7 linked regions of the Cricetulus griseus genome follow. The protein of the gene in region 5 interacts with the protein of the main gene of each other region in a pairwise test. Links are inferred from orthologs where the notes say so. Each region holds a gene or a part of one and is shown on either strand. Other genes may lie near its edges. The genes, in order: Prpf31, Ube2k, Inha, Upp2, Siah1, Numb and Ctsk.

Region 1 (2,830 bases), on a different chromosome or scaffold from region 5:
CCTGCTCCCCTTGATGGGCAGCGGAAGAAGCGAGGGGGCCGCAGGTAAGGGGCTCTGGTGGCGCTAGAAGCTGGGAAGCGGGGTGGGAGGGAGGCTGGCACCTTCCCAGCCGACTTCCTATGTCCTGTTGACTCTCACCTTCCCCAGGTACCGCAAGATGAAGGAGCGGCTGGGGCTGACAGAGATCCGGAAGCAGGCCAACCGCATGAGCTTTGGAGAGGTCAGGCTTGCTCACAGTAGCAGTGGGACCTTGAGGGTTCTCTGCATGTCCTGCTGCCATCCCTCCCCTCCACCCTGCAACCCTAGAGCAGATCTGGGGCTACCCCAGCCGCATCCCTCCTGCCTAGCCTCTCCTCTCAAAACACCCTACCCCATGGAGATCTTTGCAGTTCTGAGCCCGCTGCCCTCCCACCCAGCTCCCCATGCCACCGTGTCTAACCATCATCCAGGAGGTCCCGAGAGAATCCACTTAGGCGCCATCTCAGTAGCGCAGCCCATCCCAGTTCTTGGCAACTTAACCAGAGCTTAGGGAGCAGTGGCCACTCTCTGTTTAGGTCAGGAAGCAGTTCTTCCTAGGGTTCCCTGCTACATCCAAGCAGAGCTAGGCTGGGCTCTTACAAGGTCATTTAGTGCAGTGAGTCCTTCAGGCATCCGTGAGACCTGCTGATTGGAGACTCCCTGGGTCCCAGTGGACAGGCCTGGGGGACTGGCCGAATGTGGCCAGCTTCTTAACAGTGGTCACTCCCCTCTCTAGATTGAGGAAGATGCCTATCAAGAAGATTTGGGCTTTAGCCTGGGCCACTTGGGCAAGTCAGGCAGTGGGCGTGTGCGGCAGACACAGGTGAATGAGGCCACCAAGGCCAGGATCTCCAAAACACTGCAGGTATGGCCAGGGCCCATGGGAGTGGGCGGCAAGGAGGGCACGGAGGTCTGTGAGCCTGCGTCATGGCCTCCCCCTCTCCCTGCAGCGGACCTTACAGAAACAGAGTGTGGTATACGGCGGGAAGTCTACCATCCGAGACCGCTCCTCAGGGACTGCCTCCAGTGTGGCCTTCACTCCACTCCAGGTACCACACCCTCTCCTACCAGGCATGTAGTGGGGTTGTAGCAGCCCTGTTGACCTAACACATGAAGAGCTTAGGCATCCGGAGCCACAACTCAGTGCAGATGGCTGGCAGTGAGAGCTGTCACAAGCTCAGACCAACTTTGGCACTGGACTCTGTCCGTGTGGCCCAGATACTCTGAGCTTCCTGTCCTCACTTTGAGATAGCCCCAGTCGTCAGGGTAGCCTCAAGGTGGGTCCCAGTGTCACAGCCCAGTGGCCCTGGACAGTATGAAGCAGAGTGGCCTCGGGTTACTCACCACAGAGGTAGGCAAATGTGTCCGGTAATGTGACAAGCCTGCTAGAATGCATACTCTGAATCTGTGCCATCTTTCTTCCCGGCTTCAGGTATAGTGATAAAGAGACAAGCTGTGCCTTTTGGGGGGGTCATGGGTTGGAGGACAGATGAACGAGTCAAGTATATACTGTATTAGGCCATGGGTGCCAGAAAGCAGCAGCAGGGGTGAAAGGCGAGTGCCGGCATTGTCATCACTGTATGGCGTGAGAGTCGCCCGAAACTCTGGCTGGTCATGTCCCTGTAAGACTCAGTTTCCTCATCCAGAATCAGACAGACAGGAGTGGTGTTTTTTTTAGCATCACCTGAGGACGTTAACAATGCTGATACCCAGGCCCTGCCCCTAGACCCACTGGGTCAGAATCTCCCGAGCTGAGGGAGACTCCAGGGGCTGTCAACAGTTCCGTGTCCGCTAGAATGTTCGGGGAATGTGACATGTCTGGTTCCCATACAGCAGGGAGGCCTGGGCCTCCCCACCTTACCTGCCCCCCTCCCTTCCCAACCCAGGGTCTGGAGATTGTGAACCCACAAGCAGCTGAGAAGAAGGTGGCAGAGGCCAACCAGAAGTATTTCTCTAGCATGGCTGAGTTCCTCAAGGTCAAGGGTGAGAAAAGCGGCACTATGTCCACCTGAAGGGGCCAGGCCCCGGGTGGCCACCCACTGGAAGGACATGGACAACTGGAGCTTTGAAGTGACCGACCTCCGGCAAGGAAGTTGTGGTGGAGGCAGCCTGCCCTGCTCTGTCCTTGGCCCAAGGCCAGAGCATCCAAGAAACGGGGTGAAGAGCCTCGGCCCGTCTCCCCAGAACCCAGACTGCTGCTGCCCCAGTTAAATGGGCGGAGGTCTTCCTCACACTCGTCTTTTTTACTTACATGGGTAAAGGAAGTGGTTTTCTAGAAAGAGTACAATTAAATGCACAGTGTCAGGCTCTGACCAGAGGGTGTGATTATTTGTGAAAGACCCAGAGGAGTCAGAGCTATGGGGTTTCCAGTCCAGGTATCTCTTCTGCTCCTGTCCTGGAATCTAAGAAGAGAAAAGCCCCGTCCATTTCTGACATCACCACCCACCCCCTGAGAACCTCAGCATCACGGCCAAACAGTATGGCCACCACAAAGCTCCAGGGCCCAACAAAGGTCATAGGATTATTGTTGACCCTCAGGCTAGATGCCTCCTTGGTCCAAGATCCACATCTGCACGGTGAGGCACCTAGGAGACCTGGGGAGTGTGTGCAGAATGCACCCAGCACCGGGCTGATTGGGGAGCCAGTGGTTTTAATCCATGTTGACTGAGGGGGCCATGCCTAAGTACCCTGCCCTGGGAGGCACAAATGCCAGCCAGGTAAGCAACAGAAACCATCTTTGGTGTGTTAGGAATCTGTGATTCTGCAGGTTAGCAAGAGTCACTGCTGGGCTCTGTTTTTCCTAGCTTGAGCT
Region 2 (4,149 bases), on a different chromosome or scaffold from region 5:
AAGAGTTTTTATAATTGATGTCTACTCAGGGAAACATTGAGATGCTTCAGAATTTTGGACTCGTAGAAGTCTAAGCACCTCCTTATTTCACAGATGAGGGAATCGTAGCTGACAATGGAGGTGGCATGGGACAGAATGGGGAATAAAAAGTCCTCTCGGCTCTTGCAGCACTGCCATGACCCTTCCGCTTCAGACTCCTGAAATCTGGGATTACAAGTGTGGACCACCACACGAAGCTCCTATTAGTCTTAGAATATTCAAGTGATTGATTAAGTGACGAAATACACGAAACATACTCCTAAAATAAAACTTCCACTATTTCAAAGTACCTCTCAGTACCCAAACTATAGTATTTGCTTTAAACTCTACTGACCACTTTCAAATCGCCTTCCAACATTATTGTTGACCTAAAACATTTTACTCCTTTATCATCTTCTCCATTCAATTATACTCACGGCTTATTTAAATCTACCAGTGCCAAACACCTATGTAGGTCTAGAGCTCCTTCATCCTCCTAAGGAGTGTCTATTTCTCCAACTTTCACTATAATCATAACAGATTTTCATATGCTTAATTCAGCCGTTCTCACAGCGTAGTCGCTGAAAAATAGGCAGCCAGGTATCTTGCTAAGAATGCAAATTCTTAGGCCCATCCACACTGTAGGGATAGGGCCTAGCAATCTTAAGCTCTCCAGGGATTTTGAAGCACCTCAAGTTTTAAAACAATGTTAGTTCTACAGCTCAACATTCATTATCTAAACAGGCCAAAGATTAACTTCTGGCTTTTAAACCAACCACAGGCCTCTCCCTGGCAATACCTGTAGCAAGCACAACCCGTGGGATCCAACCATTACACAACTTCAATGTGTAATACCTGAGATGACCGAATAATAGCTGCGTTATCATGGTTCCAGAACAAAAGCTACGGCAGTGGATTTCCCGGGGGGGTTTACCAACGGACGCTGGGCAGGACCGAGTTCCTGCATAGCTTTTTCCTCGGTTGGACACAGGGAGGCACCTCAAGCCCGTGGGCTCTGGGTCTGGCAGAGTTAGAGCGGGGCTCAGGCCGGGTGGGGCCTGGGGAACCCGCCAGGTGGGGCTCCCACCTCGGCTCCGAGCCTCCCGGGATAAGGGGCGGAGGGCCAGGGGAGGACCGGCCAGGCCCAGACCCCGCTGACCGGCGCGGAAGCCGCACCCTCCTCGCCCCAGACGCCGGCAGGGCGGAGCCACGCGGCCGAAGCCCCGGCTGAGACGCGCGGCACGGCGCGGCGCGGGCTCGCTGCTGAGACGTATGGGGCTGCCACAGGAGCGGCTGCGCCGCCCGCCCGGGTCAGCGTGGTGCGCATGCGCGGACCCGGCGCCATTTTGGTGGCCGGGCGCGGAGGTGATTCTACACTGAGGGGGAACGCGGCGGCAAGGGTGGCAGTGGCAGCGTTCGTGTGCTCGGGTCCGAATCACTGAGGGAGGAGGCGGTGGAGGAAGAGGTGGCGGCGGTGGCGGTGGTCGTAGCGGTGGCGGAGGAGGCGGGTACGAATCAGCTGCGGGCAGAGACATGGCCAACATCGCGGTGCAGCGAATCAAGCGGGAGTTCAAGGAGGTGCTGAAGAGCGAGGAGGTCAGAAATGATCTACCGGACACCCCCATCTCAGCCCGGGGCGGGAGGGCCCTCCCTTCCGCGACCCCGGCGGTCCCGGCTGGCCTCGCTGCGGCCGCCTCTCAGCCGATGGGGAAGCGGCGCTCTCCCCTCCTCCTCCTGCCGCCTTTCCCTCCCCTCCCCGGGCCCTGGGATAGACGGTCTCGCGGGCGGCCGGCCGGCCTGGGGAGGAACGGGGTTTGGGGGACAGATGCAGAAGCACTTGTCGGGGACACGTGAGCTCTGGGGAGAGCCCCGAGGCGGAGGCAACATCTGTCTGTGTGGCTCTGGGGTGGGGAAGGAGCAGGCCGAGAAAACCCGGGAAGTGGGTTGGGGGAAGGGGAAAGATAGTAACTAGATCCCCGGCAGCAGCGCACCTCACAGGCCCACACTTTTCGGGGTACTCTGGGTATTGCTTGCCAGTCCTTTGCTGTCTTTTCTTTGAGGAAGGAGCCTACAGAGTCCTTAGGTATGAACGAAAGGAAGACATTCAGTTACTCCCTTGTAGTAGTGTTGGGGGACACATGGAGACATAATGGTCAGTCTCGTATTTGGAAGGGGTGTTGAAGCAGTTTTCATTACATATAGGAAATGAATTCCAAATTAGATAATCATCTCGTTTCCACGCACTCCACCAGTCACTAGGCCTCATCATTGACATTTAGTTGTTTGTCTGATGAAAGGCAAGAAGTTTGTTATTAAATGATTTGAACTAGGAAAAAAGGATGAGTAGCTTATTTCAAAATACTGTTTACCAATATCAGAGTCTCTCCTAGGGCAATGCCTCTGTGACTAGTGTACTGTGAAACTTCATTATGATGTCCCTTGTAGGTAACTTAAGTCTTACTTTTGAAAAGAGGCATATTAAAAACAAGAGATTTCATCAGATTCGCATTGTTGTAGCTCATTATTGAGTTAGGTTTGTTCTGATACAAAATATGTCACGTAATAGCATACTAAAAAATAAGACTACCCGTGAGTCCTTCAAAATTTAAATACGTTAATGCTGGTCATACTTATGTGAAATATTGAATTTTAACAATCTGACTCAGCTTTGCAAACAATAGTACAATTTTTCAGATCTGAATGAACAAAAATCCCAGATTTTCTGTGATTGAAGTTAGCAAGAAAATTCTGAAAGTAATTATCTTTCTCAAGGTTCACATTCCACTGTCCAATAAGCAGTGCTATATGTTCTTATGTGCTTGGTATTTTGATAATGCCAATAACGATCTTTAAAATTAGATATTTTAAGTATATGAGGAATTGTTACAAATCCTTTAGCACTCCAGCATTATTTGTGCCACTGAGTCTGCAGATAATTATCCATCTTTGGTAGAAATTTACTTAAAATTGAAGTGACTATATTTGCAGGCTTAGTGAACAGACTAAGAAATAAGTAGTGATCTGTCTTACATAGCATGAACTCTGACCTCTGTATTCATTTGCCAAAACTCTGAATGGAAGGATGACTTTGTATTTTTGTGGAACAGTGCAGAAAGTGTGAATGTCTGTATTCACATACATTTTAACAGTGATTTTAACTTTTTCTTTAATAAGCAAATGTACTTTGGGATTGTAGACATATATTCTTAATGAAAGATGAGAACTGATTTTGTTGTCAGCAGCCTAAAACGTTTTTTCTACAATAAGGTTGTACAAGTCTTTAGACTTGTAATGCTTTCTTTTATTTAAAAGTGTCAGGTTACTGGCCTGAAAATCCATATATCCTCTGCTTTATGTGATGTGACTTTCTATTTAAGTGATGGATTGAGGAGATGACTCCTTGGGTAAAGGAGGCTTGCTGCCAACCCTGATGACCTGAGTTCGGTCCGGAGGACCAACAAGGTAGAAGGTTATCCTTTGACCTCTATACCCACACATGCAAATAAAAGTTCATTCTCAAGAATGAGATTAAAAAAATTGTCATTATCTCTTAGGAAAACAGGGATTGCAAACACAAGTTATTCAGGAACAGTGCCTTTATAAACCTTGTAGGAACTTAGGAACCAGGAAAGTAAACTGCAAAGGATACTTGGAAAAGATCAGATAAAATTTAATATTGTAAACTGGTCATGGTAGCACAAGCCATTAATCCCAGCACTGAGAGGTAGAGGCAGGCTGATCTTTGTGAGTTAGAGGCCACCCTGGTCTACAGTGTTCCAGATAGCCATGGTTGTTAGAGAAACCTGTCTCAAAAAAAAAAAAAAAAAAACCAACAAAAAAAACCATTTAGTAATATAAAAAGCACTACAGTTAGTTCTATTCTCAGTATTTTGTTTCATCAATGTTTTAGTATGTTCAGTTCCATAGATAGGCTGTTGGTTAATTTTCACCTTAATGAAGGACCCATAGTGTAATCTATATATTTTATTTAAGTATATAAATGTAATTTTTCCAATAGCTGATCAAGTAATTATTTCAGCATGTCACCTCAGTAAATCTCCAGTGTACCAGGTTTAATTCATATGCTGGTGTTTAAGAATTTTGGTGGATCTAATGACTTATTTTTGACCA
Region 3 (3,940 bases), on a different chromosome or scaffold from region 5:
GGTGGCGGCGGTCAGGGAGCAGAGGGCGGCCCTCCCAGTGCCATTCGATCTCGGGCTCCGGCTTGCCCATCACGTAGCAGCGGAACTTGGCATGCTTGCCCTCGTTCACCCAGAAGGTCTTGGGTGCGCACTTGAGAGGCTCCACCACGGGCACGGGGGGATCATCCGGGTCCTGGGGCGGGCTTTCGTGGGGCTGGTGCACCTGGAGCAGCGCGCCGGCCTGCGCGTGGCCGTGCGCGTTGCGGGCGTGGCACACGTACACCCCGGAATCGGGCAGCCGCACAGCCTTGATGCGCAGCGTCAGGCTCGCACCCCTGCCATCCTCGCTGGGGCTCGGCTCCAGCGCGAAGTGGCTGCTGTCCCACACTTCGTCCAAGGCCATCCCATCCTTCTCCCAGTACAGCTTGGGCTCCGGGAGGCCTCCCACCTGGCACGTCAGCACCACCTCCGCCCCGCGCAACACCCACTGAGACTGGGGCCCCGTTAGGAACACCGGGGCGCTCTCCCCGGTGCCCGGCGGCGGCAGCGATTGCTCGGAGGATTGGGGTTCGGGCTCTGGAGCGGGGAGCTCCAGCACGGTGACGGCGGCCGCCGCGTAGGCCTCTCCGGCCGTGTTGCGGGCGCGGCACACGTAGACCCCGGCGTCGGTGGGCAGCGCTCCGCTCAGCAGCAGGCTGTGCTCGGCGCCGTCTTCCGGGAAGCTCAGGCGCTCCGAGGCCACCAGCTGCTGTCCGCCTTTCTCCCACAAGACAGTGGGCGGCGGCTCCCCCAGGACCACGCATTTAAGTTCGACCTCGGCGCCACTTACCACCCGCACGGGCCGCGGGAAGCGCAAAAAACACGGGGGGCTCCCCTGATCCCCCGAGCCAGCCTTCATCGCGGCCGCTGCAAATGGCACGTCTGGGTGGGCGGGAAGGCCGGGAGCCGAGACAGGAGCGTGGCGGAGTAGGCGCGGGGACTCCGGTGCCCTCCGGTGTCCGCTCGCCTCCTTCCCCTCGACCCGATCTGCAGCCCTGCTGCGCGGCGATTCCGGGCCCGGAGGCCAGAGCTCAGGGGGCAGTCCTTCCTGTTTGCTTGTGCAGCCAGGGGCCCTGCAGCCTAGTCTGCCGGCGGCCTGGCTTCCTGCTCCCGGGAGCCTCGCTTCCCAGCCCCCTCCCACAGCCTGGGCCTCTTTCCCCTCCTCCCTCCCACCTCCTGCCGCCAGGTCCCTAACTGCCGGCCAGGCTTGGGCCTGAGTGGCAGGGCGCCTGCAGCTGCCAATCCCAAAAATATTCTCTGATGACACAGCTGGAGGACAAGAGCCCAGACTGGCTCCTCCAGGCTAAGTATAGAGCAGGCGGGACCACCTGCCCTCGGCCCAGAGCCCCAGACCCAGGTCTTCTCTCCCACGATGGCCCTAGCAGCTGCTGTAGTTGAAAGGAGCCCCAGAAAGTCTGAGGGGGTTGGTACATTCTGTCTTCCTGACAAATGACACTTTCAGGAACTCATGACTGGCCAGCCTTAACACCCAAGCACCTGTTGTACCTGACGTCGACTCTCGTGTGTGTGTGTGTGTGTGTGTGTGTGTGTGTGTGTGTGTGTGTGTGTGTGTGTGTTGGGTTGTATGCTCGCATGAATGGGTCAGGTCACTTGGGGTGAACACCCTCCACAGCCCCTTCCCCCACATTCTTGGCGGGAGTGGGAGATAAGGCTCAGGGCCACAGACATCTGCGTCAGAGATAGGAGGTCTCAATGCCATGGGCAGGGGCAATTGGGACTGTAGGGCGTGGGAAGGACTGGGGGAGACTGGGGTGAGAAGGGTAGAAGAAGGCAGGCAGTAGGATGGGGAGGGGAGAGTGGGAAGGTCTTGGACAGAAGGGGCACAGGGCAGGGTGTGGGTTCCCTGTTGTCAGGGCCAAGTGAACTATGGTGATCCAGCCGTCTCTGCTGCTTCTTTTGCTGTTGACCCTACAGGATGGGGACGGCTGCCAGGGGCCAGAACTGGTGCGGGAGCTTGTCCTAGCCAAGGTGAAGGCTCTTATCCTAGATGCCTTGGGGCCCCCAGTAATGGCTGGGGAAGGTGGGAGTCCTGAAATAAGGCGGCTGCCTCGAAGACACGCCCTTGGAGGCTCCATGCACAGGACCTCTGAACCAGAGGAGGAGGATGTCTCCCAGGTCATCCTCTTCCCAGCCACAGGTAATGAAGTTGGGGACTGGCAGGTCAACTTTGGAAAGTAGCTGGTACCTATCTCAAGGGATTGGGAGCCAGGCAGATCTGGGTGTGAATGGCAGCCCCAGCACTCAGCTGGCTTTGCAGCAATGGGACAGTTCCTAAGCCTCTCTGGTCATCACCAAATAGGTGGTAGCCTCTACTACTCAGGCTGGAACCATCCAGTGGGCCTGGCACAACTGGAATATCAAAGGGAAGCTAACGTTCTACGGCTCAGGTTCCTGTCTTTTGTCTTTACACACACACCGACACCCACGCGTACACCATTTCATTGCTCTAGGTAGTTGGGACTTGAGATGGTCTCAGGGATGCAACAGAATGCTTGGCTATGTCCCCAGGAGTCTCTTTCTCATCCCTGTGTGTTTCTCATATCCCGATGACTGGAAGAGTAAAGCCCTCCTCCCACTGGGCCCCCTTCTCATCTGGCCCACAGCTCTTTTAGGGAGGTCCCCTCACTTCCCTCCCTTCGGCCCCTGGCAGCATAGTAGGAGAAAGTATGGATTTCAGATCAAGTGGAATCCCAGCCTGGCCACTTAATAGCTAACTGTCAGCCATTTCATATCTCTGGCCTCAGTGTCTTTTCTAGAAATTGGATCAGTTGTTAGAATGTTTATAATGAGAGAGGCTGTGTACTAGTGGGGCCCCGATTGCCAGTCTTCTGACAACAGTTGGTCCATAATACTTACTGTAGTCTCTGTGTATTTTGGGGCAGGAATGCCAGCTGCCCTTCCCTGGGAGGAATGGACCTCTATTCTATTCTCCTTTTCGTTCCATTCTTTCTCTTTCCCTTCCCCACGTCGCGTCCACTTTCTTTTGTTGTTCTTTTCCTTTGATTATGCATATGTATGTGTGTGTGTGAAGGTCAGAGGTTGGCAGTAAACGTCTTCCTCAGTCACTTCCCACCTTAGGTTTTGAGACAGTCTTTCACTGTTGTCTCTACCTCCTTAGTGCTGTGAGGGATTACACGGAATGCAGATAGCTTTCTCTGTGGATGCTGGGGATTGAACTCAGGTCCAAACAGTCAAGCAACAAGCCTCTTAGGAAATGAGCTGTCTCCCTACCCTGTAAACTGCCTTTAAAAATACCATTATTTTAGGGAATTTGTCATATAAAGTTTCTGATATACGTGGTGAGATACGAGTTATGTACACATCCATACACGCCACAGCCAAGATAATCACTATGTTAATCTGATGAACACTAACCAGTGTCCCTGAGGGGGAAAGCACAGAGTGAAATGGGCTCTTACACATTGCTGTTTACATTAATTAGTAAAGCCGTTTAGGAGAGATATTGCCAATGTCTTGTTTTGATGGTGAATGGAAAACTGGGGAGCCTCTGTTACTTTTCCCAAGACTCCAGAGAGTGTACGGGTCTAGGTGGAATTTAACAGTGTTTGACACCTAATCAGCACTGAGGGATGTCCTCGACATTCTTCTCATGGAGATGGAGATGTTTCCAACCCTACAGATCAAGGTTGCCGTCTCTCTTCTGCCCGTGTAGGTGCCACCTGTGAGGACCAGCCAGCTGCTGGAGGGCTTGCCCAGGAGGCTGGAGAAGGTCTCTTCACTTACGTGTTCCGGCCATCCCAACACATGCGCAGGCACCAGGTGACTTCAGCCCAGTTGTGGTTCCACACAGGGCTAGACAGGAAGAACACCGAGGCCTCCAATAGTTCTGGGACCCTGCTAGACCTGCTGGTGCTGTCATCTGGGGGGCCCATGGCTGTGC
Region 4 (4,247 bases), on a different chromosome or scaffold from region 5:
AGGAAAGGATAGGCAGGGCTTTGGGCAGAAAGAATAAATAGAAAGAGAAAATTTGGAAGAAAAAGATCAATGAGCAAGAAAAGAAGGGGCCAGCCACACAGCCAGACACAGAATAAGAAGAAAAGAAAAGATATACAGAAATAGAGAAGACAAAAGCCCAGAGGCAAAAGATAGAAGGGATAATTTAAGTTAAGAAAAGCTGGCTAGAAACAAACAAAGATAAGGCTGGGAATTTATAAGTAAGAATAAGCCTCTTAGTCTGTGATTTGTTCATTTGAACTGGGTGGTGGACACCACCCCAAAAGAACAAAGAGCCAAACAAGTAAAGAGTAAAAAACAGCCAACAACAATTCTCAAAAGATTCAGATGGCTGACAAGTATATTTAAATTTATCAATATTCCTAATTATTAGGGAAATGAAAATTCAAAACAATTCAGCATGTCTTCACACCCATTAGAATTACTATCAAAGCCCACTAATAACAGATGTTGACAAGGAATAGAGGCAAGGAATAGAAACTTTGTATTCTATTGGTGGACACATAAACTAATATGGCTAGTCTGGGAAAATATTTTGGGGCGACAAAAAACTGAAATAGAAGTATCACATAATACGGAATTTTCACTTTTGTTATTTATGCAAAAGAACTGAGATTGGTGTGTCAGAGTGATCTCTGTACTCCCATGTTTATTATAGCACTATTTCCAATAGTGACATATATAGTTACTTAAATATTTATATATGTTATGAATATATTATAAATGTATTTATATGCTTATAAATATATTCAAGATGGAGTACTATTCAAACTTTTTTACAATTATTTATTTGTGGGTATGAGTGTGAATGTGCACACACAACAGAGTGTGTATGTAGGAAACCCAAGGACAACTTGTGGGAGTCGTTTCTATCTTTCCATGATGTGGGACCTAGGTACCCAACTCAGGCCATCAGGCTTGGTGTCAAGTGTTTATTTGCCCACTGAGCCATCTCACTGACCTCTCAGCTTTTATACAGAAGAACATCCTGTCATTTGTGACCTGGCTAGAACTGGAAGCATGTTAAGCTTAGCACCAGCCCAGAAAGACAAACACTTAGCAGCCTCTCTCTATGTGGGCTCTAAAACTGTTAATCTCACTAAAACAGAGGGAAGAGTGGTGGATATCAAAGGCTGGAGGCTAGGGAGGTATGGAAAGAGATGCTAAAAGGGAACACAGACACAGTGACATTGAAAGAAGCAGCTTAGTGATCTATACGTCTTGCCTGGTAACCACAGGGAATACATATATATTCTTACTACCAAACAATGGGAAATGGGTGAGGTGATGGATATATTGGCTAGATCAATAGAATTTTCTACAACACATGCATAGGTCAAACCTCTCTCTGGGCTGAGGATATAGAACAGTGACAAAGTACTTATCTAGTAGGCATAAGGTCTTGGTCAGTCCCTAACACTGCAAGCCAACTGAACAAACAAACAAAGGCCCATCAACACATTGTACCCATAAATATGTCAATTATCACTTTCAACTAAAAACAAATAAATGAATGTCTTTAAAAGCATTGAGGAAAGGCTTGCCTGAGACTTCACGCCAAATTCAAATCCATATGAAGCTGGCTCTTCCAATGCTTTGTTCTTTCTAAAATCTGTAGCTAACACCAAATAGACTCCCACGTACTGTTTCCTCCTCAAAACTTTTTTTAAAGCCTAACTTCACTCTTTTTCCTAACTCATGCTCTAAATATTGGTCACCAAATAAAAGTGCTAACTGGGAGGCTTTCCCTTGGCTTCCTTGGCTTCCATGAAGGAATGAAAGTGGCAAGAGAGGTCTGTTTGAGCTTGCGAATGGAGTGCTGTCTGTACGCTTACATCACGACATTTCCCACAATTCTCGGCAAGTCAGAGGGAACTTACAAAAATTCCTTAAGTGTCATGAAGACTAATGCTCTATTATGTTCTGTTAACCTGAGGCAGAAATTAGAGTTTAATTTTCAGGCAGCTTTGGCAGATTTATGCCTACCTATGTGATGAATAACATCCATGGTATTTCAGAAGTCGATTCTATGTCAAGTCTGTCTATCACAAAGCATATGAAATTATCCCATGACACACTCAACACAGTTTAAATGCCATAGGCACTACCAGGCCCTTTTATTATTTCTCATGTGTAGCCTTTGGTCCTGGAATTAAATTCTGAATTCAGGGCACAGTGAATTCCAAGCTGTACTTTGAATTTGTCTGTTCCTGTGGGTTGGTTAAACTTCTTACGGTTTTTGTATGTTCTTTTGACCTACTTTCTTTTCTATATGTTATTATTATGTGTATTATTTATTATTTTTTATAAAATTATGTGGCAGTGGACATGCTAGGAGGCACATGTGGAGGTCAGAGGACAACTCTGTGGAGTCGTTTCTCTTCTTCCACTGTTACATGGGTTCTGGGGGTGAACTCAGGTAGCCAGGCTTGCTCAACAGACACCTTTATCCACTAAGCCATCCCACCAGTCTCTACTCTATGTTCTCACATGAGCCAACTTGCCAACTCCACAGGTATCAAAGAAGAAAAATTTACAGTGCTTTTATGTCGATTTGTATTATGGACAGTATTCCAATTATTTAATGTCCAGTGTGAAAAGAAGTATAAAACTCTGAGGGTATGTCTATGAGCACTTAAAATAAAATACGAGGCACACTCACCTGGCTGAAACAAGAAAAGATCAAAATTACTCACCCCTCATATGTATTCTTGTCTGGTCTCATGCGTCTATTAGAAGCAGGTAAAATGGAAGCCATTCTCTGCAGTGCAAGATATCGGGGAAAAGCACTATTAGGGCCTGCTGTTAAATTACAGATCCAATAACAGCCACACAGCTCCAAGTTAGACTAGCACCGTCCCTTCAAACTTAGGTTTCCTTCTGAAGTTTTCTTCTAAAATTTTCTCTGTGCATTTTAAGCCACTTTATCAATTTCGAAACACCATCCCAGGATGGCCTTTTATATGACAGCCAAGCTCTCAGAGCATCATTCCCCCAAGAAGATAGGTTCCTTTGGAAGGTGTGGCATCCTTTCTCTTTGACCAGGTTGGTTAGCTTATCAGATTTGATCACTGAACCTTTCCATGGCATCTGACTTCGGTCCCAACGTAGGGCTGGCTTGACACACCGACTTATTTGCTTTGAAAACAACTGAATATGAACACAAGCCTGCTTTTGGCTTCCATGCCAACCTCATCAAAAATGTGTCCAGTACACGTGAGAACTTTCAGTTCTCAAATACTCCATTTTCCAATTCTTTCTCACTACTTGCCAATTGGTTTTTTGTTCTGTGTGATTACTAGTTAGGAAAACATCCAAAGTCAGGACCTAAGAAATCCTCCTAGTTGGAACTTTGCCCTCTCAGTTCATACAAAAGGTCCGATGGTTAAACAAAGCTGCTTTCCTAGGGCCTCTTCATTTAACTGAATACTAAGTTGATTCTACTGTCCACTAAAACATGTCTCTGGGTGTCAATGCAGGTAGAATAAAGAATTATAGCTTAGCATTTTCAGAAAAGAGAGTGTTTTTTTAAGTAATTTATTAATTGGTAGCCTGCTGTGATTGTGAAGACCTATAATCCCAGCACTTAGGAGTCAGGATAGGATAATTGCTGGAAGCCTGAGGGCAGTCTGATCTACAGAGTTCCACAACATATACAGGCATAAAGCAATCCCTGTTATAGAAAGAAAGAAGAAGGGATGAAGAGAAGGAAAAAGAAGGGTGAGAGGGAAGGAAAAAGAGAAGGAAGAAATAGGAGAAATATGAATTCACTGTTTGCTGGTGCATTTCATTCAGGAGTAAGGAAATCTACTTCATCATGGCCCTTTCTCTCATGGTTCCTATGGGATTCTGTATGGAGCACCAGTTCAAGAACCTCAGTGCCATGGGTTTTTAAGCAAATCAGAACTTAAAATATTTGCAAATGTCAAATAGAAGATATATGGCATTTCCTGATGTGTGTGGATTTCTCTTTAAGAATGTACATAATAGACAAGAAGCAAGTACCCTGGATCTTAACTTCTGCTGAAGACCATTTTTTTTTAAAACACTCAAATTTCTTCTTGTTTTTTCTTTTTTGACTTCTTTTGGTTCATAGTAGACAGTCAGCAAAGTTTTCAGAATGGGAAGGCAAACACATGTTGGGGAACAACCAAGGTAACCGAGCCCTGGTGTGGCCACTGCCCACCAGGCACTTGTAATTTTACGCA
Region 5 (4,091 bases):
CCATGTGACTGGGGCCTAAATAGGGCGAGAGGAGCTTCCTGTCACCCTGGTGTGGCTTTTGTAGTAATAGTAGACAAAGGAGGCAGCTTGAGGTGACACTTACCCAGTAAAGAGAGATGGGCGAGCAGGGGAAAAGGGAGACGGTAAGTGTCCTTGGTAGAGATCCAGACAGATGTAGCCGGTGGAGCTGCGATGTGAGGCCAGTGTCCAGGTGGCTGGGTTCCTTGGGAGATGGAGAAGGCCCTAGGAGTCAGAGATACATTCATGGCATAGACAAGGACAGGCGTGGTTAGAGCATGTGGGCGTTGGGGGAGAAGTAGTGAGACAGCGGACTCTAGAATTTGGGGTCAAATTTGATAGATGACAGGAGTTATTGGAAACAAGTGATCTCTACAAACCTTAGGAGAGGCAAATCAGCAGCTTGATTCAGAGCAGCCCAGGTACTTGGAAGGGAGCTCATCTATGCCATTCCCGGCTGTGGGTACCGGATGAATGAAAAAAAAATGAAATTAAAAAGGAAGGATATGACTGCTCCTAGGTATGGTGGAGGGGAGGTTTATTATAGATAAAAGGGAGAGCATAGCCAGAGGCAGGGATATCTAGGAGAGTCCAGAGTGAACATGACCCTGAGCCAGGTCATGTTAGGAGAGAGGAAAGGGGGGGAGGAGAGCCAGGAGAGTACAGGATAGACAGTGAGGGTGTGCATGTAACCAAAAAGGCTGGATTATATAGGGAAGGGCAGCTCAGCCCCTGGGCTGGAGAAATGTAGGGTAGGAGGTGGGGTGTGCCAGCCATACCCTGTAACAGGTAGGGACTGAGGGATGCAGGGAAAACCTGGCAGCCAAGTCCAATTTGTATGTTAAATAAGCACCTCAGTTAACTACGTGTCTTCGGGGTTTAGACCTCACATCACTCATCTATAACCCTTAGCATTGTAACTTTATAATAAACATGTAATTTCTAAGAATTTTAGGGAAATTAAGGGGTGAGCAGTCTTGGTATTCTACCTTTTTATTTTCTTTAAATAAAGAGTGCAAGACTTAGAGAGATGGCTCAACAGATAAGAGCACTTGCTACTCTTTTGGATGTTTTTCAGTACCTAAATAATGGCTCATAACTGTCCAAACTCCAGTTCCAGGATATCCTATGCCCTCTACTGGCCTCTGCTGGCATCATGCATGCAGGTGGTGTATATATACACATGCAGGCAAAACACCCATGCACATTAACAAATGTATATGAGCTGGGGACATAGCTCAGTTGGTGGAGTGCTTGCTTAGTTTTTCCAAAGGTGTGGCACCACACAAAACTAGGTGTGGTGGTGAGCAGTCCCAGTACTCACTGGAAGTTGGTGAAAGCTGGATTATCAGAAGTTCAAAGTCATTTTCAGACTCTTAGAAATCAGTGGTAGTCTAGGATGATTGAGTGAGTCCTGCCTCCACAAACAAAAATTCTCCCAAAAGAACAACAACAAAATGTGGCTAAATGCCCTAAAAATGTTGTGACAAAATTAAAGGCATTAATACTATTTATTTCCTTTTAGATAATAGCTATTTAAACTTAATGCCAAAATAGGCTTGATGTGCAATTTAGAATGTGTAGTTTATATTTCTGTTCTTAAAGCTGTTTGTTGTAGTCTAGTATTAAACAGTTAGGTGGAAGTGATTGAATACAATAAAGGTGGGCAAGTGGTTGGAGTTGAAGTTGCAGAAGGTGTGTGAAACCCATTGTATTGGGGCACTCACTGCCAGTTTCTGGTTGTATTTGAAGATTGTCCTAAGTGTGATGTAATACCAGCTTAAGCTTTGAAGATTCAGCTGACACCATCCAGGTCTGAAGTGTATAGGACTTTATGGGCCAAGGGTAGTGCTTGTTTAAAAACAAGGCAAGCTACTCTAGTTTAATGAGGCCAGTTAAGAAAACTTTCCCAGAGTGGGATGAATATATAACCTCAATTTGGAGGTAGAAGTGGAGGTTTACATGCCCTGAGTGTGTTTACATTCTCACTGCACTGGAAGGGGGCATTTGAAATAGATTGGCACACAAGCGGCAGAGTTAGAATTGAGGAAAATAGTAGTTGAGGCCTGGAAATATTGAGTGAGTTGTGGGGGGGAATGTTTTTCTTGAGAATTCACAGGACAAAGCTGACATTAGGAGTGCTTGCCTGGTTGCGCATTTCCCTTCCTCCCTGTGTGTTTCTTACCCTAGAGACTTAGGAAAGCACTGAGATCCTGACCTCCGGAAACATGTTCTACGGGACTTAAGTGCTGCCAAGTGCACAGGCTTCATGTTGCCGTGGCGTCTGCCAGAGCTGTCCAGGTGGTCTGTGGGGCGGGGCTTGGAGCGAGGTCCGCCCCTTCTCGAGGCCCTGCCCCAGGGCCTGCCAGGTGGTGGAGCCTAAGCAGCAGGACGCCAGAGCTGCTGGCCATCTTCTGCTGACCACCCAGTTTAGAGTTCATGGGAGGTGTTGTCTCTCCTGGGGACAGGTCTTAAGACTGAATGGAAGTGAGCAGCCTTCTATGCTTAGGAGCCAAGGGCCTTGCAGGGTCCTCTGGTGCAGGCTGGCCTTGTGGCTTGCAGGAACCTGACGCCTCGATTCTTATGACCTGGAAGCCGCCCGAACCCCTTCTGCATTCCTGGAAGGGAGTCCTGCTCGCATGCTTGCCGACAGTTAGGACCAGGACCAGGAAGAGGAAAGGTACTGACGTAAACACATCTGTTTCCGAGACAGAAACTGGACTGCACGAATCCATAGATTCTGGTTTAGGCTTGGTGAAAGTCGGCATTGAGGGCTCAGTGGAGCTGTGGCAACTCCTGCTTAAATCTAGCTTTTCAGGTGTGTCCAGACTTCTGTGGACTTGTCCTTGGTTTCTACCTTGCAGCTGCTTGTGGATGAGAGGCTTTGTGGCTCAAGATGGAGCCACACTCCATCCTTCTAACTAGGGAATGGTGTAGCAGTTATCTGTGCTGTCATACTTCCAACCACATTTTGTTTATCATGCTGGGTAGAATATCAGTGTGCTTTCTCTAGTGTTTGGAAGGCAATAAAAATACGATGTAACATGAACCCAAACTTACACTGATAAGTGTTAGAGGTGTTTTGCCAGGTCAAAGCACTGGGCTAGTGTTTTTCTTCTGAACTTGGCTATATTGTGTTTAAATATAAACTGAGCTCTTTGATGTGACCGGAACTGTTTGTTTCGAGAAATCACTTTCCAAAATCTGTGTTCTTTTAAGTGAGCCACAGTTAACATGGTGAAGCAGATGGGAAACCCATGGCTTTGGTAATGCCAAGGCCATTGACCTAAAGTGGATAAATCAGCTGCATAAAGAATTTGATCAGGTGGAAAGTAGAATACAGAGGGGCCATTTTATTATGACACCTGGATCACAGGGCTTCAGATGATGAGAGCTAATTCATGTTGTATTCCTCCATGAGTCTGAGCTGTTGTGGTGGAGTTTTGTCATACTGTATGTGTTGGAGATGAAACCAAGGGATATAGGCAAGCTAAACATTTGTTAGTACTGTTTTGCCCTTTGAACTTGCTAGTATTGCTTTAGTAACAAAAGAAAAAAAATTAAACCTCCAGTGCTGCTCTTAGCCCCCTTATTTACAATGTTACTGTCTACTAAAATTCCATTTGTATTGACTTGGTTACATTTGTAACTTCAGTTTTTTTGAAACTTAAAGGTCTTTGCAACAGAGTGATTATAACTGGGAGAATTACTATATTATTTAGTGTGGTCTCAGGGAGTGCACTATTAGGACATTGATCTTTTGTCAACGTCTGAGATAAATTGCACCCTGCCAAATTCCCCAGAGGCAGAGTCCTGGGGAAAGGAGCTTATTGTGCTTGACTGTCACTGGCTGGTCCTTCCTCCAGATGACTCTGAAATCAGTGTGTATAGTTGGTGTTTGCTGCAGCCACACAGGGAACCCAAGGGTGCAGGGGAGTTCTTTGCTTATTGAGTCTGCCCCTCTCCCCATCCTGTGTTTGTGTCTGTGTGATGCTTTTACCCTTACTTCCTCCTATTGTTTCCTGACTTTCCCTTCCCTTTGCATGTTACATGAGATTTGTGCTGCAGAATGG
Region 6 (3,500 bases), on a different chromosome or scaffold from region 5:
TTGTTCCACTTAATGTAGCATATTTCATGTACCAAGCATTAATGTTTAATGCTAAGATATGAGTTCTATTTTTGTTCCATGTTTAATTTTTTTCAGATCCATGAATATATAAAGTGATGTATCTTTTGCTGTAATTTTTTAGATGACAGGCCACATCTTAAATTTACCCTTGTTAAAACGTATGTTAGAAAGTGATAAATGAATCAGCCAACTCAAAGCTCAAAGTTGAAGTAAATTTTAAGCGTTAGAGGTAAGAATTTATTTAGGATTCAAGCAATATTCTGGGTATCATTTTGTATTTAATAGAAAGTGACCCTAAATGCTTAAGATATGTAAGATCACTTAATCATTACTAACTTTTCTTGAGACCTAAAGTCAGGAAACTTTTTTAACCAGGACTTAATTTAGAAGTGGATAAGGTTGGGCAGACAAAGAACAGGTTTGATGAGCAATTTATCTGATTTTTTTTTGTTTGTTTTGCTTTTCAAGGCAGGGTTTCTCTGTGTATCAGCCCTGACTGTCTTAGAGCTCTCTCTAGACCAGACTGGCCTCAAACTCACAGAGATCCCCCTGCCTCTGCCTCCTGAGTGCTGGGATTAAAGGGGTGCACCACCAAACCCAGCTATGTATGATAATTTTTAAGCACATTTCAGACTTTTGACTTTTTTTTAAAGATTTATTTATTATGTGTACAGTGTTTTATATGCATGAAGTCCAGAAGAGGGCACCAGCTGTCATTACAGATGGTTGTGAGCCACCATGTGTTTGCTGGGAATTGAATTCATGTTCTCTGGGAAAAACAGCCAGTACTCCTAACCTCTGAGCCATCTCTCCAGCTAACACCACCCCTTTTTGTTTTGTTTTGTGTTTTTTGTTTTGATTTTTTGAGACAAGGTTTCCCTGGAACTTGCTTTGTAGACCAAGCTGGCCTCAAACTCACAGAGCTCCTCCTGCCTCTGCCTCCCTAATGTTGAGATTAAAGCCATGCGCCACCACCTCCCAGCTGACTTTGTTTTTTGTTTGTTCAGAATATTAATTGGCTTAAATTTTGATGTTTTTAAAAACAACAATGACTTAAGTATCTTTTAAAACTTGTATCATTTTAATTCATGTTTTGGATGACATTTATTTTGAAAAGGGATCTTGCTGTCTTTGATCTAACAATCTCTGCCTCAGCCTCCCAAGTGCTGGGATTGCAGTTTGTGCTGCCATACCAGGCAAATTTGTCATGCTTGTGACCGTGTCTTTGTTTTTCGCTCTTGTTGGAAATTAATACTGCCCCTTGGTGGCTACTTGTAGCAGCTCATTTATGAATTTTGTTCTTTTCTACATTGATTGATGATAGCTGCTGGTGGTTGAGTGGGTCGGTAGAGACGGGTCTCTCTATATAGCCCTAGAGAGCCCATAGCCTAGTCTTGTCTGGAATTCACTATGCACCAACCCAGTTTGGCCTTGAATTTGCATCATTTCTCTTGCCCTAGCCTCCTAAGTGCTGGGATTATAGGCATGAGCCATACTGTTTGTACTGTTAGCTAGTGGCTTGTCACCATTGGGTCCATTTCCCACCTTTATATTTTACCTATTGTCAGGGACTAAATACAGTGTTGGAATTAGTGCTTGTGACAAGGCCATTCCATGACCTGCACAAATTAATATAGATACCGAAGTCTGAGCTTCAGGTCCATAACCTTTCTTTGAGCAAGAAACTATGTTGTGGTGATGCACAAATCTCTAGCATACAAAGAAACAGAAAATATACTTCATTCTCACAGAGAAAGCAAAGACCCAACTCCAAAATAACTTAGGTGTTGGAAGCAGCAGACAAAACTTGTAAAGCAGGCATTACAACTCTACTAAGGGATGTAAAAGAAAAAAATGCTACTATCAAATAAGCAACTAGAAAGTCTCAGAAATTATGAAAAAGCAGCAAAATCCTAGGGCTGGAAGAGAAAATTGTACTTCTCAAAATTACAGTACTTGAAGTGAAAAGAAATCCAGTTGGTTGTAAAAAGGGAAAGTATAGAATACTAGGTATCAGTCTCATTTGCATACCAAAGGTACTGGGAACTCACTTTCCTATGTTTTTGCTATATTTGCAAATAAACCAGTAACATTGATTTATGTATGCATACTGTCAAATTGAACGTGCCAGTTACTGTGAAAGAGCTTCAAGCTAGGACCAACTGACACATATGCACTTTAGAATATGAAGTGATGCTTCCTAGTCAAAATCTGTTCCAACTATGGGATACAGCTACTGGATACAGCTATTCATAGCTCAGTTGAAACCTACGTAGGGGACTCTGCACTGCAGAATGAACATCCAGTGATGCTTCTGAGAAGACCACACAACTAACTCATAAGCCTTCTCTTGCCCTGTGCTTCCATTTCCTAGGACCTCATAGTTGACCAGACAATAGAGAAAGTTTCTTTCTGTGCCCCAGATAGGAATTTTGACAGAGCCTTTTCTTACATATGTCGGGATGGCACCACTCGGCGCTGGATCTGTCACTGCTTCATGGCTGTCAAGGACACGGTAAGTCCAACATGGTATATGCCATTATGAGGAGTCTACCTGAGCTGCTTTCAGCCAATGTCAGCCAGGCAGTTCCACTATACTTTTAGTAAGTACTCGATGCTAAGGCTGATCATAAAAGTACCTTCTTTGTAAGATCTTATTCCTTTTATTCAAGTAATTCTCACTCTTGGTCTGAGCCTGTGAGAGGGAAGTCACAAAGCCAAGCAGTTGGCTAAGATCTAGAGTCATTAAAGGGAAGCAGAGACACCTGGTGAGCTCATTGGCTGATACCATGATTCATTCCCCAGCACCACAAAGAAAGGAGGAAAGCAAAGAATGGGGGTGAAAGAGGACAATATGTTGCCATAGTTACTAAACTTTAGTTGGAGCTTTTCATCAGTAAAGTGCTTGCAGTTTGTTTGTTTGTTCTTAGAATCTAGTTTGGGGCTGAAGAAATGGCTCAGTGGTTAAGAGCACTGACTGCTCTTCCAGAGGACCCAGATTCAATTCCCAGCACTCACATGGCTCATAACCATCTAAGCTTCAGTCCAGGTGATCTGATGTCCTCTTCTGGTCTTTTTGGATACCAGGCATGGACTGCAGTTTACAGACATACATGCAGACAAACTACCCATAAACATTAAAAAATATATATATAGGGTTTGTGTCTGGACAACATTACACACCTTTAACTTTAACCCAAGCACTTGAGAGGCAGAGGGAGGTGGATCTCTGAATTCAAGGCCAGTGTCAGCCTACAGAGCAAGTTTCAGGACATCCAGGGCTACACAGAGAAACCCTGTCTCAAAAAAAAACAACAACAACAACAACAACAAAAAAAAACGAAGGCATATTAAAAAAGAAAGCCATAAGTTGGTTTATGGTTTCAGAGGGTTAGAGCCCCAGATGGCAGAGCAGCAGAACAGCTGAGAGCCCATATCTTTATCCACAGCAAACAGCTACAAATAGCATTGTAAATGGC
Region 7 (4,050 bases), on a different chromosome or scaffold from region 5:
TCAGTGTTGCACAAGTCATATGATGTGCTGGAGACAGGAAGTGGTTTTTAAACTTAAGAATTTGCAATTAAGTCACTGCAAGAAATTAATGAAGCCAGAGCAAATTCCTGAAAAGTTGTGAATTGTGGACTTGGTCATTATAGAATATTGTCCTTCTGTCTTGCATTTTCTTCTTACACATCTGCGGCTTTTGTCCTGTGAAGCAGCCACGTCTCTGAAAAAAAAAGAAAAAAAACCCATGGCATCTGGTTAAGATTAGAACCATTTCCTGCCTAAAGAGGGAGAGGATTGAGGAAAGGAGAAAATGGATAGGGCAAATGACACAGTGAACATATCTTAGATAAAAACTGCAAATTAGCCCTGTTCTTTCCTGGCAAGATCTGGCAAAGGAGGAAGGATGCCATGAACAAAGCAGGAAGCACACTGTAGATGGAACTGTCTCTAACCACGTTCACACTGTGCTTATTCTGTCCTCACTGGGGGTATTGGAGAAGAGCAGTGCCCAGCCTTTCCCAGTCACCGGCTCTGGTTGTCTGCCATGTATGCAGTTTTGATGGAACATCTTTGAGTTGGAATAATTGAAATCAGATGTCCCAGCACCCCACCCCCACTTCTGCCCATTATTGCTTTATCATGAAAATCGCCTGCAATTCTTTGTCTGTTTTCCACATACAGCCAACATTGCCAGCCTTATAGTTCAAAAGAAGGGATTCTTAAGCTAGGCATACTAACTCATGCCTTTAATCCTAGTGCAGGGTGGAAGAGGGGACAGACCTTTGAATTCAAAGCCATCTTGGTCAACATAGTGAGCTCAAGGCTAGACAAGACTTAGAGACTTACAAAGCAAAACCATATCTCTAAGAGACTTACAAAGCAAAACCATATCTCTAAAATCACGTTCCTGTGTGTGTGTGTGTGTGTGTGTGTGTGTGTGTGTGTGTGTGTGTGTAGTTCTTTTGGGTTTATGAATCCCTTAGGATTAATGCATGTATGTGTAATTTTCTGGTAGACAGAACTCATTTTTATAGCTCCTAAAAAGTTAAAAGGCACCTTTGTTGTGACTTTAAAAAAGCTGCTCCAGAGAGAATGACACCATGTGACAGAGTTCAATCAGAATGGTTTCTTTATTAAGGGAAAATGATTGTAAAAAGGGAAGGGGGTGAGGGGGAATCAGCCTCCATGGACAGGAGCAGTGGGCGAGAGAGGAGGGGAAAAGAGGGGAGGGGAGGGAGGAACAGCCAGGCGGGTGGGATAGGTGAGCAGGGCCCTTTTAAAGGGGAACATAGTGAACAGGCACAGATGGTGCTCTTAGTGGCAGCCTCTGAGGCATATACTGTCAGAACCCCAAAGGCAGGCCAGTACAAATGCCTTCCTGGTAATGTGTCTGCCATCATTTCCACACCCACAGGCTGGCTTAGACTGAACCTCCTGTCGATGGAAGTCTCCCCTAATTATTCCTCTCACAGGATGTGGGTGTTCAAGTTTCTGCTGCTACCCATGTTGAGCTTCGCTCTGTACCCTGAGGAGATGCTGGATACCCAGTGGGAGCTATGGAAGAAGACCCATAGGAAGCAGTATAACAGCAAGGTGCCTGGGGCCTGCAAGGGAAGCAGGGAGGAGGGCTGGGGCTTGAGGCCTCTGCTTTAGTTTTAGATTCCCTTCAATCAGAGTACAGTGCTTTGCCCCAAGCAAGCAGTCCCTATTGCCTAACTCTCCAGCTGGCTTTACTTTTGTGCGGCAGGCCCGCTGGAGGGATGGCTCAGGAACATCACTGAGTCCAGTACCCAGCACCAAAGATGTGTCTGTGCCGTGTGTATGTCTCATTATAATACTATTATGCTATGGTATCTCTAGAACTTTGCATATGTTTTTTGTTTTTGTGTGTGGACCTTTAAGTTCCCCAGCTAGATTGCAAACTCTTTTTGGTTATGGTACATTTTTCTCCTAAAACCTACCTATATAACGACACACAGTCAATGAATTTATTGACTGTTATATTTAGGTGGATGAAATCTCTCGGCGTTTAATTTGGGAAAAAAACCTGAAGCATATTTCTATCCATAACCTTGAGGCCTCTCTTGGTGTCCATACGTATGAACTGGCCATGAATCACTTGGGAGACATGGTGAGTTGCCTCTGGGATCCAGGCCCACCCACTGTTTTTACCATGGTCCCTGCTAATGCTTGGCCTTCTGCTTTGTCTCAGACCAGTGAAGAAGTGGTTCAGAAGATGACAGGACTCAAATTACCACCTTCTCACTCCCACAGTAATGACACTCTCTACATCCCAGAGTGGGAAGGCAGAGCCCCAGATGCCATCGACTATCGAAAGAAAGGATATGTTACTCCAGTCAAAAATCAGGTGTGCTTGCTTGTGTGTGTGTAGGTAGTCTGGCCTGAACTGAGGTATATCTTATGCTACAAGAATACATCATATTCTATTATTTAATCATTACCTATTTTGTATATATAGGGTTTTTTTCTGCTTTTAAAAACTTACAGTATTACAACAAGCATCTGATGCATATATTTTTGTGCTCATGTAGAAATATTTGTGCAAAGTAAATTCTAAAATTGTAGTTACTAGGACATAGAGAATTCTCCCCCCAAAGGTTTTTACAATATTAGATTCTTATCTGCAAGAGAATCTCAGTTTTCCTAGGATCTTAACAGCACAGGGCTGTGTCGTCAGTAAGATGAATTATTGATATAACATTCATTCTACAAATACCACCCTTCTCCTAGAACCAAGCAAGTAGGGTGCTAGCTACCTGGTAAAGAGTCAAGACTTCCTCCTCAAGAACTTCTTATTCTTAAAAAACAGAAAATCTGGGAAAAAGACAATTGTGCAGTCGAGGAGAGTAGACACTAATAATAGCTGACGATTCCTGAGAGATCTCTGTGCACAAGGAGTTTCTGTGATTTACATGTCAGTGAAGTCTCTCACTGCTCACAGGAGTCAATACATTAACTATAATACACTCCCTTTTCTGTTCTCACATTGCTCAGGCTGGCCTGCATCTCAGTATATGGCTGAGATTCACCTTGAACTCCTGATCTTCTTGCCTCTGCCTCTCAAGTGATGGAATTACAGGTATGTCCAACTAAGCCCAACTTATTCTCATTTTTAAAGGTAAGGAAACTGGGACACAGAGAAGTTCAGTAACAAATCAAGGTCACAAAACTAGTGTGCAAAACCAGGGTTAGACTTCAGGAGAACTGTCTCCAAAGCCACAAAGTACTGTACTTGACTCCAGTTAAAGGAAACAGTTATTACAGTTGTTATCATGGGGAACGACAATAAGGTTCACAACAAAACCAGCATTTGTGTTGAATTCACAAAATGTGTGAACATTTTTAGGCTGGTAGAAAGATGCACCCATGTGAAAATCCATGACTGACAGTTTTTCTGTATGTCTCTCAGGGTGAGTGTGGTTCCTGTTGGGCTTTTAGCTCTGCAGGTGCCCTGGAGGGCCAACTCAAGAAGAAGACAGGCAAACTCTTAAATCTCAGTCCTCAGAATCTTGTGGATTGTGTGTCTGAGAATTACGGCTGTGGAGGCGGCTATATGACCACTGCCTTCCGGTATGTGCAGACGAATGGGGGCATTGACTCTGAAGATGCTTATCCATATGTGGGTCAGGTGAGATGACACCCACCACAGTGTGGAGGCTGTGCGGGCTCTTCCCCCAGCATAACTTTGTTTCCTGTTGTTGTATCTGCTTCCCTCCCTCCCTCCCTCCCTCCCTCCCTCCCTCCCTCCCTCCCTCCCTCCTCCCTCCCTTCTTCCTTCCTTTCTTCCTTCCTTCCTTCCTTCCTTCCTTCCTTCCTTCCTTCCTTCCTTCCTTCCCCATCTCTCTCTTTTCTTTCTTCCTGTTCCTCCTTCCCCTTCTCTTTCTTTCCCTTTAATTTTTAGACAGTATCTTACTATGTATCCCAAGCTAGCCTAGCTTGGTCCCCTTTTTTTTGAGACAAGATCTCATATAGTCCATGTTGGCCTTGAACTTACTAAGTAGCTGAGGATGACCCTGAACTTGTCTTGCCTTGAGC

The links.
Region 1: the proteins of Siah1 (region 5) and Prpf31 interact in binary tests that used the Homo sapiens proteins (3 or more experiments, as listed by UniProt). The two-hybrid records come from large-scale screens. The link is inferred for Cricetulus griseus from reciprocal best matches to the Homo sapiens genes SIAH1 and PRPF31.
Region 2: the proteins of Siah1 (region 5) and Ube2k interact in binary tests that used the Homo sapiens proteins (3 or more experiments, as listed by UniProt). The link is inferred for Cricetulus griseus from reciprocal best matches to the Homo sapiens genes SIAH1 and UBE2K.
Region 3: the proteins of Siah1 (region 5) and Inha interact in binary tests that used the Homo sapiens proteins (3 or more experiments, as listed by UniProt). The two-hybrid records come from large-scale screens. The link is inferred for Cricetulus griseus from reciprocal best matches to the Homo sapiens genes SIAH1 and INHA.
Region 4: the proteins of Siah1 (region 5) and Upp2 interact in binary tests that used the Homo sapiens proteins (3 or more experiments, as listed by UniProt). The two-hybrid records come from large-scale screens. The link is inferred for Cricetulus griseus from reciprocal best matches to the Homo sapiens genes SIAH1 and UPP2.
Region 6: the proteins of Siah1 (region 5) and Numb interact in a two-hybrid assay, tested with the Homo sapiens proteins (2 studies listed by BioGRID and IntAct). The link is inferred for Cricetulus griseus from reciprocal best matches to the Homo sapiens genes SIAH1 and NUMB.
Region 7: the proteins of Siah1 (region 5) and Ctsk interact in a two-hybrid assay, tested with the Homo sapiens proteins (2 studies listed by BioGRID). The link is inferred for Cricetulus griseus from reciprocal best matches to the Homo sapiens genes SIAH1 and CTSK.

Annotation. Positions count from the first base shown.
Region 1 is NC_048602.1:21,556,712-21,559,541, forward strand, and holds the end of Prpf31 (U4/U6 small nuclear ribonucleoprotein Prp31), read left to right. Parts: coding exon 1-44; intron 45-147; coding exon 148-220; intron 221-754; coding exon 755-883; intron 884-968; coding exon 969-1,067; intron 1,068-1,904; coding exon 1,905-2,030; 3' UTR 2,031-2,330; downstream 2,331-2,830. UniProt on the Homo sapiens protein: Involved in pre-mRNA splicing as component of the spliceosome. Required for the assembly of the U4/U5/U6 tri-snRNP complex, one of the building blocks of the spliceosome.
Region 2 is NW_023276807.1:132,581,975-132,586,123, forward strand, and holds the start of Ube2k (ubiquitin-conjugating enzyme E2 K), read left to right. Parts: upstream 1-1,349; 5' UTR 1,350-1,551; coding exon 1,552-1,614; intron 1,615-4,149. UniProt on the Homo sapiens protein: Accepts ubiquitin from the E1 complex and catalyzes its covalent attachment to other proteins. In vitro, in the presence or in the absence of BRCA1-BARD1 E3 ubiquitin-protein ligase complex, catalyzes the synthesis of 'Lys-48'-linked polyubiquitin chains.
Region 3 is NC_048595.1:428,647,794-428,651,733, forward strand, and holds the start of Inha (inhibin alpha chain), read left to right. Parts: upstream 1-1,140; 5' UTR 1,141-1,390; coding exon 1,391-1,441; intron 1,442-1,953; coding exon 1,954-2,176; intron 2,177-3,712; coding exon 3,713-3,940. Other genes in the region: obscurin-like protein 1, read right to left, coding at 1-877. UniProt on the Homo sapiens protein: Inhibins and activins inhibit and activate, respectively, the secretion of follitropin by the pituitary gland.
Region 4 is NC_048599.1:116,114,140-116,118,386, forward strand, and holds the start of Upp2 (uridine phosphorylase 2), read right to left. Parts: upstream 2,801-4,247; 5' UTR 2,798-2,800; coding exon 2,736-2,797; intron 1-2,735. UniProt on the Homo sapiens protein: Catalyzes the reversible phosphorylytic cleavage of uridine to uracil and ribose-1-phosphate which can then be utilized as carbon and energy sources or in the rescue of pyrimidine bases for nucleotide synthesis.
Region 5 is NC_048596.1:162,343,992-162,348,082, reverse strand, and holds the start of Siah1 (E3 ubiquitin-protein ligase SIAH1), read left to right. Parts: upstream 1-1,291; 5' UTR 1,292-2,499; coding exon 2,500-2,698; intron 2,699-4,091. UniProt on the Homo sapiens protein: E3 ubiquitin-protein ligase that mediates ubiquitination and subsequent proteasomal degradation of target proteins.
Region 6 is NC_048598.1:119,939,788-119,943,287, forward strand, and holds part of Numb (protein numb homolog), read left to right. Parts: intron 1-2,395; coding exon 2,396-2,536; intron 2,537-3,500. UniProt on the Homo sapiens protein: Regulates clathrin-mediated receptor endocytosis. Plays a role in the process of neurogenesis.
Region 7 is NW_023276806.1:61,002,486-61,006,535, reverse strand, and holds the start of Ctsk (cathepsin K), read left to right. Parts: upstream 1-1,250; 5' UTR 1,251-1,299; coding exon 1,300-1,587; intron 1,588-2,002; coding exon 2,003-2,125; intron 2,126-2,206; coding exon 2,207-2,362; intron 2,363-3,424; coding exon 3,425-3,643; intron 3,644-4,050. UniProt on the Homo sapiens protein: Thiol protease involved in osteoclastic bone resorption and may participate partially in the disorder of bone remodeling. Displays potent endoprotease activity against fibrinogen at acid pH. May play an important role in extracellular matrix degradation.